Ovis aries: one gene and its partner. The protein of the gene in region 1 purifies or fractionates together with the protein of each later gene. This does not show direct contact. Links are inferred from orthologs where the notes say so. Each region holds a gene or a part of one and is shown on either strand. Other genes may lie near its edges.

Region 1 (6,894 bases):
CCACTAGGACAACCTGGGGCCAGAGAAATTATATTTTGCTAGCCTGATTTCAGCTGGAGGCATCCCAGTGCTTATTTCCTTCTTTGTGTGTTTATCTCCAGGCGAGGCTTCTGGGTACCCAGAGTAGGCAGAGTTGAATTCTAGGGTCACAGCTTTCCCTGAGATGGAAAGGAGCTTAAAGACTATCTCTTTCAATATCCCCATTCTATAGATATGGAAATTGAGGTCCTGAGAGTTGAAGGAACTGGTCCAGAGTCACACAGGAAGTCAGTAACAGAGCTGAAGGGGGCCGAGGGCTGTTGATTCTTAGATCCTTGGTTTTCTCCTCCATCGTGATGTCATATATCCAATCCAAGCCCACCCCTGTATGTGTAGCCGCTGGGCATACAAGCATCTGGGGCCGGGCCAGGGCTGGGGTAAAGCTCGGGGGGTCAGAACCTAGTGGGGGGACTCGAGGGAAAGTGGGTCCTCACTCCTGTAGCCTTTTCTTCCAGAGATCCCTGGACGTTGGATTACACGGGCCACGCCCCCAGAGGGCTCCGAAAGCACAGACCCCAGCACCCAGGAGCCTGAGGTACCTCCAGAGCAAGATCTGGTGACCAGCACTGTGTCAGATGTGGTGACCACGGTGATGGGCAGTTCCCAGCCTGTGGTGACCCGAGGTACCGCCGACAACCTCATCCCTGTCTATTGCTCCATCCTGGCTGCGGTGGTTGTGGGCCTTGTGGCCTACATCGCCTTCAAGAGGTGAGAGGGGGAACCTGAAACAGGGAGCCAGATCTTTGGCCTCAGGGAGAGCTTCGCTGTGACCATGACCTGAAAATGCACACACTCTTTTAACTCAACCCCAAACCAAGCTCATCCGCACTTGCCATCAACCTCACCCTGAAGTTTTTACTTCAAGGTGTGGCAGGTCAGCAGGAGGCAAGGAAGGGGATTGTTCCTGTCCCGCCCTGGTGCCAGCACCTCCCCACTGTGCGCCCCTACCTGACTCCTCAGCCTCCAGCTGCACACAGAGCTGCTTTTACCAGCTGCTTGCATCCTCATTCCCTGGACCCCATTTATTCACACAGTTACCTGTGTGTGTGTGTGTGTGTGTGTGTGTGTGTGTGTGTGTGTGTGTGTATCTTTCTTTCCTATGTCACACATGGATGTTACGGGACTCATGTCCAGAAATCCAGGATGTGGAGAAGACCTCGAAAGCATTCTAGATGTTTAAATGCATTTTCCATTCTTTAGAAAAAAAATCATCAAAGAAATAACATGGTTTTTGGGATAATGCAGAGAAGACCAATGTCTTGTAAAGCAAAAAGTAGTAAAACCTCCTTTTATCTCCCCATAAACACATGTGTATAAAACCTTTTATAGTTATATGTACACACAGGTTGGCTTTTTTTTTTTAACATCAATGTGATCACACTCTACATATTGGACAACTTGCTTTTTCACTGATCTCCCTTGGGAGAGCTTTCCTCAGAACATATAGAATTATCTGATTATTTATAACTGCTCATTCAATAATATGGGTGGAGTATAATTTATTTTACCAATCTCCTATCGATGGACATTTGGTGTGCTTTTAGCTTTTCCTTATTGCTTATAATAGCAGGGGAAATCCTTACCCGTACGCCAGCACACATGTGGGAGTACTTTAGAAGGAAAGATTGGGAAAAGTGAAATCCTGGGAAGTCATTTATTTGTGCACCATTCATCTCATGGACATTTACTAAACACTGGCCACATACACCAAGCCCTGGGCACCGCTGTGCCCTCACGGTGCTTCTGGTGTGGGCCGGGGAAAGGTAGGTAGAGGACAGGTATGTAGAGAGCCTCCCGTGCTGGGCAGGGGTTAGGGACCAGCCCCCACCAGGCCTTTGGTGCCCGCGCGCCAGAGCACAGACACTTTAGCCACGTGGCCATGTGGCTCCTCAGGCTCTGAGACTGGGCCTATGCTCTGGCTCCAGGTGGAACAGCTGCAAGCAGAACAAGCAAGGAGCCAACAGCCGACCCGTGAACCAGACGCCCCCACCAGAGGGAGAAAAGCTGCACAGTGACAGCGGCATCTCTGTGGACAGCCAGAGCCTGCATGACCAGCAGCCCCACACGCAGACTGCTGCAGGCCAGGGTGAGTAGCAGGGCTGGCCGGGGGCGGCGGGGGGCAGTGCGGGGTACTGAGGCAGGGAGAACAGGAGTAATTAAGGTTAGACTGTAGGAGGGACTGCAAAGGGGCTGCCTGCAGGCCTCTGGGTGGAAGGATGGAAGAGGTGGGATGAGAGAGTGGGTAGGAGAGGCCCTTGCCAGTAGAATGACTTGGGAAACAGAAGCTTTGACAAACTGGAGCATCTAGACTCATCAAGCTAATTGTCCCCCAGAGCTAATTACTCCTCAAAGTGGCTGCAATTAGCCTCCTGCCCAGGACTTCTGGGGAACGAGTAGTTAATTATGTCCCCTAATTGGTAGCCCATAGCCCAGCTCCAGACACTTGGCTGCAGTTGAGTCTAGGACCAGAAGTCCTGTCTCCTCTGCCTTGATTAATTGCTGGGGGGTGGGGGCAGGCAAGTTAGGGGCTGGGGATGGCTCTGGAGCTAAGGATGAGGAGGAGACATGAGTCAGCAACCCCCAGGTGCCTCCGCTGCCCTGCCCACATCTAGGACTGCATCTTGGGCATCCCTCTGCTTCTAGGGTCTTGGGTCCTCCCCAGACTGAGAGGAGAAATGCCTCAGCCCTTCTTGGGTCTTATTCCAGGCCCCCACACCCACTGTGGGAGAAAGGGGGTCTAGTGGGTAGTGTCTGACTCCCCCTGGGTTCTTGGCAGCCCTCAAGGGTGATGGAGGCCTGTACAGCAGCCTGCCGCTGGCCAAGCGGGAGGAGGTAGAGAAGCTGCTCAACGGCTCTGCGGGGGATACCTGGCGGCATCTGGCAGGCGAGTTGGGTTACCAGCCTGAGCACATAGACTCCTTCACCCACGAGGCCTGCCCAGCCCGTGCCCTGCTGGCCAGCTGGGCCGCCCAGGACAGTGCCACGCTCGACACCCTCCTGGCGGCCCTGCGGCGCATCCAGCGGGCTGACATCGTGGAGAGCCTGTGCAGCGAGTCCACGGCCACGTCCCCCGTGTGAGCCGGCCGGGAGCCCCTGCCCTGCCCCCGCATTCCGACGACCGATGCTCCAGCCAACCCCGCAGGGAAGAGCTGCCTGCCTCCAGGCAGGGCCTCAGCCCAGTCGCTGCCCCCGTGCGGCCCCGCCGCCTCCAGTCATTGCTTCTCCCTCCCGTGCTGCAGGTGCCCCTGCATCCTCTCCCACCCTCTCTGCCCCGTCGCCATCTCAGGCCTCCTGCTCGCTTCTCGCCCTGCTTCTCGGGGTGTCAGCCCCTCCCGCCTGAGCAGGTTGTCATATCTGGGGGGCTGACACCAGGGATGGTGTTGGGGGCATGACCAGGCTCCAGAGACTCAGACGGAGAGACTGAGGAAGCAGAGCCATGGATACTACACTGTGAACTTGGGGCACAAGGGAGCACCTTTGTGGCCTAAACCTCCCTCAGCCCCCTCCCCTCCTCCCCTGTGGCCTAAGATGAAGAGCCTCAGAGGTTTATCAGAGCTGGTAACGGGGTTGAAATCTAGTCTATCCCCCTCGTCGTACAGGACCGTGAGGCCCAGAGAGAGGTCATTTGCCCAAAGCATCCAACAATGGAGAAGCCAAAGATGAGCTGCCTGCCCCCTCACCCTGAATGAGGGGTGCAGGCCTCAGGCTTGCTGGAGGGGACCAGACAACCCTCTGGCAAGTGTCTCACAGCCAAAACCAGTCTGCTCTTCACCCTCTCCAGGCCTGTCCAGCCCCTGTGCAGGGCTCATGCTTCACCCAAGGCCTGACCCCCTGGTCTGTCCTGACCCCAGTCAGGGTCGGGGTTTGTGGCGAGGGGTGCAGCTTCCCTCTGCCTGTCCCCTCAGGCACGTCAATGTGACATCTGTGGTGTGGCCAGTCTGTAAGTATTTGCCATCCCAGCACAGACCTGGAGCTAACACAGGCAGCATCTTCCCCTGGAGTCAGCCTTGGGGGCTGGGGACTAAGGACCTCCCCCCTCAGCCAACCTGCAGCACACAGATTCACAGAGACACACACAGGATGAGAAATCTTGCTTCTCTCCAAGAGTTCTTTCTCTTGGGCCGAGGCCGGATCCTACTGGGGCAGCTGCCAGAGAAGCGTCGAAGGGAATTGAACTCTGCTCGCCGTCTTCCCTCACCCCCGGGTTTGGCGGGCCAAGGACGACTGAGGCTTGAGCTGGCGCCTGCCTTACAAGGACCTGCACGTGGAGGAATGCTCCCCCCTCCACCCTTTCCCTGCAAGCACGGGTTTGGCTGGGCCCCGGAGGCTGCAGTGAAGAAAAGTGGACCAGTGTGGGAACGCAGCTGGAAGAAATGGAGTTAGAGTGTGGCCCATCGAGGGTCTCTTGTGAGTTGAGACGACCCTTCAAAGGACTGTTTCTTCCCTAGCTTGGTACCAGAAAGGGGCCGTGAGGTCCCTCCTGGCCCGTTTTGCTTGATGTTGGAATGAGTGTGGCCCCCCTCTATTTAGCATGAACAAGCCCCGAGCAGGGTGCATACTGCCAGCCACCCCCTCCCCAGCCAAGGGGTTTCTCACCTCTGTATAAGGGACTGGGGACATTGTACATAGACCGCACTTCTTTGACCTGAATCAGTAACAGGAGGAGGAAACTCATCTGACCCCTCACCTGTGAATTTGGGAAGTGGGACAGAGTCTGAGGTATTTATTTTCCTCCCCAGCAGCGAAGGAGGGGGTTGGAGGTTGCAAGTATGTTTTAGCATGTGTTTGGTTCTGGGGCCCCTCCTGCCTCCCTTCGGGCTGAGATGGAGCCCTTTTGCCCAGTCCCTCCCGCAGCTGGGAGCTGTAAGCTCCAGACTCCTTGTCACCCTCCCTGTCACCTGCCCCTTGCATCCTGTGTAATCATTTCTTGGGTCCTCCTGAAACCTACACATAAAACATAAATGATGAACATTAAATAGCAAACAAAGAAAAATCGTACAGAGATTTTCTGGAAACATACATGGTTTGAGTTGGTAGGGCGTTGTGTGTGTGTGGTAGGGACCTGTGTATAATTTCCAACTCAGTGAGTTTCTGTCCTATTTCCCGCCCCCCTCCCCCACATAACGGGGAAGTTTTAACAGAAATCCAGCAAATTCCCATGTGTCACCGTGGAGTTAAGTGGGATGAAGACGGAGTGGGGGCCTTAGCCGCCAGACCTTGGAGAGGGAAAGTGAAAATGGCCATGCAGGAAGCTGGCCAGCTGTGAACTTAACCAGATGTCAGAAGTGAAACTGACCACAGGGGAGCCAGAGGCTTGCTAGGAGGGCCGGGTCACAACCCCACAGCTCCCAGCCACCCACATGACCTGGGAGGCACTCCTCAGGCCAACACACAAGCACACACAGACAGTCCTGCTCCAGATGGCCTGGCAGGAGCCTGGCTGGCCCAGCCCGAGTTGGGCAGGCCTCTCCCCTGTGGCTCTCCCAGGCAGGTCCCAGCCCCAGCTCCCACCAGCCTGGCTTTGTGCCCTGCCCGGTCCAGGAGCTGCAGACTTCCAGGCCCTGGGCCTGTGCCCCTCTCCCAGGCTGGCCAGACAGCTGGTTTGAGCTGTTCAGCTTGTGGTTGCTAGGGAATGCCACGGGAGGCTTGCTTTCCCACAAAGAACAGCAAACAAGCTTTCCTGATCTTGGGATCCTGGGAAGGGCCAACCAGACCCCAGCCAAGAGTTATGTGTGAGGTGGAGGGAGGCGTCTTCCGTCTCCCACCCCCAGCCTGTGAGGGTTGTGAGGAAGGTGGTGGGGAGGGGCAGTGATTTGGAGTCGAAATTAGAAATGATCCTGGGTCTTGGTAACCCCACTGTGATGGCAGAGACAGACTCTTGAGGGGCCTCCCCTTCAAAGAGGGGAGACACAGCCCCAGACTTGAGGATACCTCTAATCTGATGAGGGAGACAATTCCTGTCCTAGAAGAGCCTCCATTCTGATGGGGAAATGCCTCTAATTTGGTGGACGAGAGCCAGATGCTGCGTGTGGAAATAAGGAGGTGCAGACCCTTCCACAGTCTTAAGTTCTTGATGGGGAGGCAGCAGACAGCCCCTGATGGTGTGGAGTGCCATGCTAAGGGTGAGTGGGAGTCCCAGCCCAGACGCCCCTCCCAGGGGTTAGGGAAGGGTAGCCAGGAAAGAGACACTGAGACTAAGCCCTACTGAAGTGGAGTCAACAAGCTGGGGGAGGAGGAATTTCCTGGCAGAGGAATCAGCGCAGCAAAGGTCCTGAAGAGAGAGAACAGAGCACATGGGCCCTGGGGAGACTCCTGTGCCTGGAGCCCAGAGAGCAAGTCAGGGGGGCCAGATAAGGAAGGGCTTACAAAGAGATACACTAAAGCCACCTGGACTAATCTTAGAACACTGGGGAGCCACTGAGGGGGATTAAGCAGGGGGATGCCATAGACAGGTTACCATCTCAGAAAGCACAGCTCTGATTGCCATGAGGGTCATTAGGGTGGGACAGAATAAGTGGGCCAGGAGGTGGAAGTGAGAGGTAAAGGAGGAGCCACAGGGCTGGCAAGAAGAGGGCATCGTGAAAGCTCCTTACAGCACACGGGATGGGATAGGAGGTGTGGAGGTAACTGATACTGGTCTGGGGCTCCTGGGGACAGTGGGGCAGAGAACCTGAAAGACAGTGCCAGAGATTCACACCGACCTACCACCGCATCGTGGAGAAACCCTCTTTGTCCTCCTTCAGCCTAACTTTCATCCCTTCTCTAATTCCCCTGCAAGAGCAAAACTGCTTCTTTAATGTTGCCTCAGAGGCTGTGTGAGACTCCTGCCAACCCCTCAGAGGCTGTGTGAGGCTC
Region 2 (7,149 bases), on another chromosome or scaffold:
AGAAGGAGAAGAGGGCATCAGAGGATGAGATGGCTGGATGGCATCACTGAAGCAATGAGCATGAACTTGGGAAAACCCTGGGAGATGGTTAGGGACAGGGAGGCCTGGCATGCTGCAGTCCATGGGGTCACAAAGAGCTGGACACGACCGGGCAACTGAACAAGAACATCTTACATCCCAGGAAAAGAAAAACAAACTTACTTATAAACAGTTTGAATGAACAGTTTAGGATGCTATTGGAGGTAATACTAGGAGAACATGACTGCTTTCAAGGCCAGACTTTTCTCCCACTGGAAATGATACTCCTGAGCTGCTCAGGTAAAACTCAAGTGGAGGGGGCTATAGATGACTTTTCAAGTAGAGGAAATACACACCTGCATAAGAAGTTCATTTAAAACATATCTTTTCTTTTTTTATAATGATACTACAAAAGTCATTTATTTTGCTCTCAAAATACCTTATATGAGGTAGCATTACATTTTTTATGTAAAGCCTTTATTTTTAAAATAATTTTATTTTTATATTATTTATTTTATTATTTTTTTAAATATAAATTTATTTATTTTAATCAGTTAATTACTTTACAATATTGTATTGGTTTTGTCATACATACTATTTTAATGGAAGCTAATTACATTCAGTTTACACAGGTCCTTTTTGCCCTCCATGACTTTAATTAAATGAAGTTAATTATAGGGAAATATACCTGTGGGTGTCTATAAAGAAGTGAGGTTCTTGTTGGCAAAACAGACTGATAAAGCATCAGATGTTACCGGGAATTAGAAACTCTTTCCCAGCAGCAGCAGTCTGGGCTTCACCGCACTGTCATCTCGGCTGAAACATCCAGGGTCTGCAGACTCCATTCCGAAAGAGCTCTCGCAGCACCTTGTAGATAAACCTTCTGGAAAATACATGACCAACCCCTCAACTTTCAGTTGAGCCCAGCATGAAAATCCAAAAGAGATACTGGATGTCCCTTCCCTGTGCCCCAAGCTACTCTCCATGCAGGACCTGGTGTCATGAATTAGCTCTGTCCTGCATCTGGGAAGCCTCTCTCTCAGGGTCTGGCTGTCTCCAAGCCTGCATAGGAACTGAGAAGCTCTGCCCACATGGGGTCAGCTTGCTGGGGTCAGCTTCTCATTTCTCATGATCCTGTCCTTCGCTCAAGATTTGGTCCTCTACAGCACCGGTGATGTGCCTGTGTCAGGGAGCTTGGGAGAAGCTCTGGGGTGGTTCTGCCAGTCTTTCCTGGCAGAAAAGAAAGCAAATACAAACACTGGGAAGTAAAAGGACTGCGTGGCTGGTGACTTCTGGGTTTGATGAAAGAAGTGCTCAGGAGTTAAACAGTTGTTTCAAGCTGAATTAGGGCATTAGACAAAGTGTCCAGCACCCCAGCTTGGCTGGGGAGACTTACATTTAAAGGGGCAGATTTGTTTTGTTTCTGCAGGAAGTTTTGGGTTGAGATGGAGGTAATTTTTTTTTTTAAGTTTTAAAATGTCTGAATTAGCTTTGGCTCAGTTAAGAGGTGGCATCAAAGCCAGGGCACACTTGCCTAAGTTATTGCAGAAATGCCCACTACTCCCCACAGGAGACCTCACAGGACATCTACTAAAAGGGATAAACTTCCTCTCAGGACATGGGAGGCTTCTTCAGCACTTTAGCACCAGCACCTGCCTGTTAAGTAATGTTCTTTAAGCGCTGGGAATCCTAGTCTCCAATTCAGATAGTAATTCTCTCACACAAATACAACTCTCAGATTACTTCTTTTGGGGGTAATGTCACCTATGCATTCCCCTCATTTTCCATCTTCCCCAGAAAAGGGTTTGGCTTTAACGAAATGATCTTTTTCAATGTTCTGATGTTTGAAGGATTTTTGGTCTTATTAAATCCTATTTCTCTTTCTCCCCCTTGCAGCTTTGAGCTCCCTAATGAGATTTATCCTCAGACACTGCCCCTCCCTGACCCCATCCCACCTTCTGAGTGGTTGCTTAGTGGCCCATGGCAATTTTGGAGACACCCTAATAGGCGACCTTCCCACCCCAACCCCACATCCCTCTCCAAGGTGTCCCATGTATGTTCCTCCAGACCACTGGGCAGTCAGCTCCATCAGCACAGTCCTTCAGAAAAGACCAAGCTTCAAATCTTGGGTTCACTGCTAAGTAGGAACAGGACTTGGTTAGATCCATTAACCTCTCTGAAATGAAGTTCCTTGACTTGTACAGAATATGACTTAATTCCCCTAAAAGATGAATGTTTAGGATTCATTAGTAATAATCTTTAGCTGTGTGTGTGTGTTGAGAGTAGGGAGCTACAAGTACAGGCTATAACATGAAAACTAAAGATGCTAACATGGAACTTTTTAAAGGCACAATCTAAAAGGCAGGAGTCAGGAGGGCAGCTGGAGGCAGGTGAGTATAAGTTCGGCCTCTGGGCTCATTCAGTCTGGGTCCAAACCCTAAAACTAAGCCTCTCCTCCCAGGAAGCCTTTATGATCCAGGGAAAGCTAATTATCTGCTTTATTTCTGTATTTCCTCCACGGTGCCTGCTTCACAAGGCTATTGTGAGGATTAAAGAGAGAAAATATATGTAAGGGTTTAGTACAAGGCCTCTCTTAGTGCCCACAAAAGACAGCTATTATTTTTTAGAAAATATGGAAAATGTAAGAGGGGCAATTACTCTAAATATCAGCATTTGTTATTTCTATATAATGTGATTATGACCCCTGTTTTGGTTTTTGCACTTCTACTTGTCAAAGCTTTGATATGAACTTGTGAATTCCTTCCTGAAAATAAAACTATGCCCTTTACATATTTATGAGTCATGATGAGTACTGACATCCCCGTCCTATTAGATGAAATAGTTATATCTGTATACTTTGTAATTCCCATTCCAAACCCATAATATTCTGTTAAGAAGATAAAGTACACTTTTTCCATGAATGACTGTATCACAAGAATCTTTAATGTTTAAAGTTTACTCATGGTGAGGTTGTATCTGTGTTTAGTAAAGTGTGCCCACATTGAGTCTGTTTCAGTTCACATCACCAAACTCCACAGGGATGTTTCCCGTGCCCAGGCAGAGCACAAAGACAGGGGTCAACTTTTCTCTTGGTTAGGCCAGCTTTTCTGGGGAGTTTTTCCAAACTCTGCAAGACCAATTTACCCCAATACACAGCCTCCGTCACACGTAAAAGAATATGGAAAATGCCTCAGTGTATTTCATAAGTTTAGCATGTCTCTGGTACAAAAAATTCAAGAAAGGTAGCACAAAAGCGAAAGCACCAACTGAGCTTAATTACAAACAACCATGCATGAATCCTATACACTAATATTACTGAAATGAACACAACATTGCATTAAGAGGTATAAAAGCACTGTATGGAAAACTTAAAAGTTACACGTGAAATACTGCACTGTAGATCCTGAATACTCTAACGTCCCACACTCCCACCCTTCCTCCACCCTGGTGAGGGGCAGAAAACTTCCATCTGCCTCCAGACCTTGCTAGTCCTCGGAGACACTGTTGCGGGGGCAGTGGGCAGTGGGGTGGGCCTCCCGCAGGGCTCTAGCCTCTTCCAGAGCCTCCCTGTAGCGGGAAGGCCAGGCCTGGGGGTTTTTCTTAAAGACCCTGGCCAGGAACTCCATGATCTGCATCTTGGTGATTTCGCGGCTGGCACGGGAGCCCCAGAAGAACTCGTACTCAGGGGGCTCGACATGGGGGACGCGCTGGTACTTCAGGTAGTTCTGCTGGACGAACTCCTCGGTGATAAGCTTTCTCACGTCTCCGAAGGTGGAGTGTTTCTTCCAAGGCCTCAGCCCCAAGATGCGCAGCACGTTCCAGACTGCACTCTCTCGAGCGCCGCGACCCTTCACGTAAATGAGGCTCAGGATCATCAGCAGGAGGCCCGTCATCGGCATGCGGTTGCTCAGAGCGACCCTGTCCAACTCCTCTGGCTCCAGAGCTTTGACCAGCGAAAACTCCATGGTGTGCAGGCTGGTCAGCCTCAGGTGCAGCCCGAACACGCGTGCGAGGATGAGGCTGGTGCGCCGAAGGATGCTTCTGCACCACTTCTTGTAACTGCCGATGACATCCTTCACCATGTCTGGGAACCAGATGATCATCCTCTTCTGGTCCTTGACCAGCACGTACCACATGAGCTCGTGTGCCTTCTGCACCAGCTGGGCCGGGGCCGGGGGCGCCGGGCTGAGCTGACTTGTGCTCGGGGCCTGGTGGGGACGGCCTTCGTCAGCGGCCTGCTGCAGGGCCTTCGGGTCTCCCTCTTCGCCTGGAGCCTGGGAAGGCAGCGAGACCAGAGGGGCATCAGGCGGGCTTAAGGGAGGGCGCTCTGGCTCAGTGAGTGTCGCGGCCTGAGACCCCGGAGGAGAGGGCCCCCCGGTAATGCCGGGGCTGCCGTGCACCTCGGAGTTGGAGGCCTCGGCCGCAAAGTTGGGGTCGCACACATCCTTACTTTGTTCGGACATATCTGTTCGGTCTCGCAAGAGCAGGGCCGCCGAGTCCGAGAGCTCTTCGAGTCTGCTTTCCCTCCGCGGACTCCTGGAGAGGAAGTGCGCATTGCTGCGCGCGGCGCCTTCCGCAGAGGCCAGGCAGGGCGGGGCGGCGGCGGGCCGGGCCAATGCGCCTGCGCGTCCGCGCGCCTGGGGCCCGGCAGTCGAGTTGGCGGGCGGGGCTCCTGGTGGGCTGCAGGAGGGGGCTAGGAGGCCCCCAGTAAGCATAGAGGGTCCGCTAGAATATGGGCCTCAGTGATCACACCCCCTCCCCAGGTATCCTGTTATGGCTAAGGAGGAGTTCTTGAGGAGGAGGGGAGGGAGATGGGTGAGCACTGGACAAGGAGTCAGTTTAAGGGACAGATGGCAATTTAAGCTTCTGAAATGCTGAAACTGAACTTTCTTAGGAAGCATTTGATTAGGTATATCCAAAATCAAGTTAGAGATCAATCCAAGAGTAAGAACTAGGCTGGTGTGTCAACTAGGTTTCAGATCAGTGTGAGAATTTAAACTGAGAGAACAGCCAGGATTGCCCAAGAAAATATGTCAACTCTGAAAAAGAGAAGTCGCTTAGTCATGTCCGACTCTTTGCGATCCCATGGGCGTAGCCTACCAGGCTCCTATGTCCATGGGCTTTTCCAGGCAAAAATATTGGAGTGAGTTGACATTTCCTTCTCCAGGGGATTGAACCCAGGTCTCCCGCGGTGCAGACAGACAGTTTACCCTCTGAGCCACCAGGAGAACTAATTGGACAAATTGGAATTCTGAAGAATAACAACAAAAATTCATTGATTTCCTACCGTATGGAAGAGTTTTGAACAAGAAATGCAGAATGTTGTCAATCCGAGTGTGATCGAAGTTCTCTTGAAGGCAATATAATAATGACTTTGTTAGTGTTTTAATGGTCATTGATTTTGGTTTTTCTATTCCATTGGATAATTTTGATGTAAATTTTGTTTCATTAGAATCCCCTCACACAAAGATTATATTAGCATAGACTCATAGGATGTCTTTCCGCCTGTTTTTCCAGGACCTTCCTTTTCTTTATGACTGTTTCAACCTCCGCTTTTCTTCCTGTGGAAACTTCACCTTCTTAGAGCACAACATCCCCATCTTCCACAGATACTGAATAGTATCACATGCAAATCCCTCCCAAGATACTTTTTTTTTCTTTTTTAAATTAACCTAGATCCCCAAAATTTTCCCAGATAACAATTGATTTGAGATGTAACAATTGGTGGTTGTATATCAGTTTTCAAATTTAGAAACCAAATCTGCAGTTTTGTTTGAGACTGTCAACAAAAACAAAGTTGACAGTCCCAGAGGTGCATCCTTTAAAAAAAAAAATTGGGCACAGAAACCTCTGGATCCAATGTTCCTGCAGCTAATCAACATGCCTTGTATAAGCCATTGTGGTCTTTCAGCCATTCCTGGGTTTCCTCAAACTGGCAGCTTCTTACATATGCCCTCAGTGAGTCTGGCTATTGTCACTCGAAACCTAACTCATATTACAATATTGTTTTGACATTTCTAGAATCCTCTCTTTATTAGCTTGTACCCTTTTCTTTTTTTTAATTTTTATTTTTACTTTATTTTACTTTACAATACTGTATTGGTTTTGCCATACATTGATATGAATCTACCATGGGTGTACATGCGAACCCAAACATGAACCTCCCTCCCACCTCCCTCCCCACAACATCCCCCTGGGTCATCCCCATGCACCAACCCCAAGCATGCTGTATCCTGCATCGGACATAGACTGGTGATTCGATTCTTACATGATAGTATACATGTTTCAATGCCATTCTCCCAAATCATCCCACCCTCTCCCTCTCCCTCTGAGTCCAAAAGTCGGCTATACACATCTATGTCTTTTTTGCTGTCTTGCATACAAGGTCATCATTGCCATCTTTCTAAATTCCATATATATGTGTTAGTATACTGTATTGGTTTTTTTTCTTTCTGGCTTACTTCACTCTGTATAATCGGCTCCAGTTTTATCCATCTCATCAGAACGGATTCAAATGTATTCTTTTTAACAGCCGAGAATACTCCATAGTGTATATGTACCATAGCGTTCTTATCCATTCATCTGCTGATGGACATCTAGGTTGTTTCCATGTCCTGGCTATTATAAACAATGCTGCGATGAACATTGGAGTACATGTGTCTCTTTCAATTCTGGTTTCCTTGGTGTGTATGCCCAGCAGTGGGACTGCTGGGTCATATGGCAGGTACCACTTCACACCAGTCAGAATGTCTGCGATCCAAAAATCTGCAAGCAATAAAGGCTGGAGAGGGTGTGGAGAAAAGGGAACCCTCCTACACTGTTGGTGGGAATGCAAACTAGTACAACCACTATGGAAAACAGTGTGGAGAGTCCTTAAAAATTGCTTGTACCCTTTTCTCATTTCTCACTTTACTCAAGTAGATTGACTTCAAAGGGTTTTTCCCTTAGCTGTTTTTATCTTTGGATTTTCATGCTTGTATCACTTTTAGGAGGACCAATTTGACCTCAGTCCAATAACACCCCTTAATCTTTTATTTCACAAGGATAATTCCTACAGCTCATTTAGATATATCTCAACTGCAATTTTTCTTGTTCATCATTTTCTTCTCTTTAATTTATAGGTTTCTATTT

Evidence for each region.
Region 2: the proteins of NGFR (region 1) and NDN purify together in Homo sapiens (affinity purification with western blotting; 3 studies listed by BioGRID). This does not show direct contact. The link is inferred for Ovis aries from reciprocal best matches to the Homo sapiens genes NGFR and NDN.

The regions. Positions count from the first base shown.
Region 1 is NC_056064.1:36,823,539-36,830,432, reverse strand, and holds the end of NGFR (tumor necrosis factor receptor superfamily member 16), read left to right. Parts: intron 1-494; coding exon 495-747; intron 748-1,964; coding exon 1,965-2,125; intron 2,126-2,815; coding exon 2,816-3,117; 3' UTR 3,118-5,032; downstream 5,033-6,894. UniProt on the Homo sapiens protein: Low affinity receptor which can bind to NGF, BDNF, NTF3, and NTF4. Forms a heterodimeric receptor with SORCS2 that binds the precursor forms of NGF, BDNF and NTF3 with high affinity, and has much lower affinity for mature NGF and BDNF.
Region 2 is NC_056071.1:617,791-624,939, forward strand, and holds NDN (necdin), read right to left. Parts: upstream 4,570-7,149; 5' UTR 4,482-4,569; coding exon 3,504-4,481; 3' UTR 2,940-3,503; downstream 1-2,939. UniProt on the Homo sapiens protein: Growth suppressor that facilitates the entry of the cell into cell cycle arrest.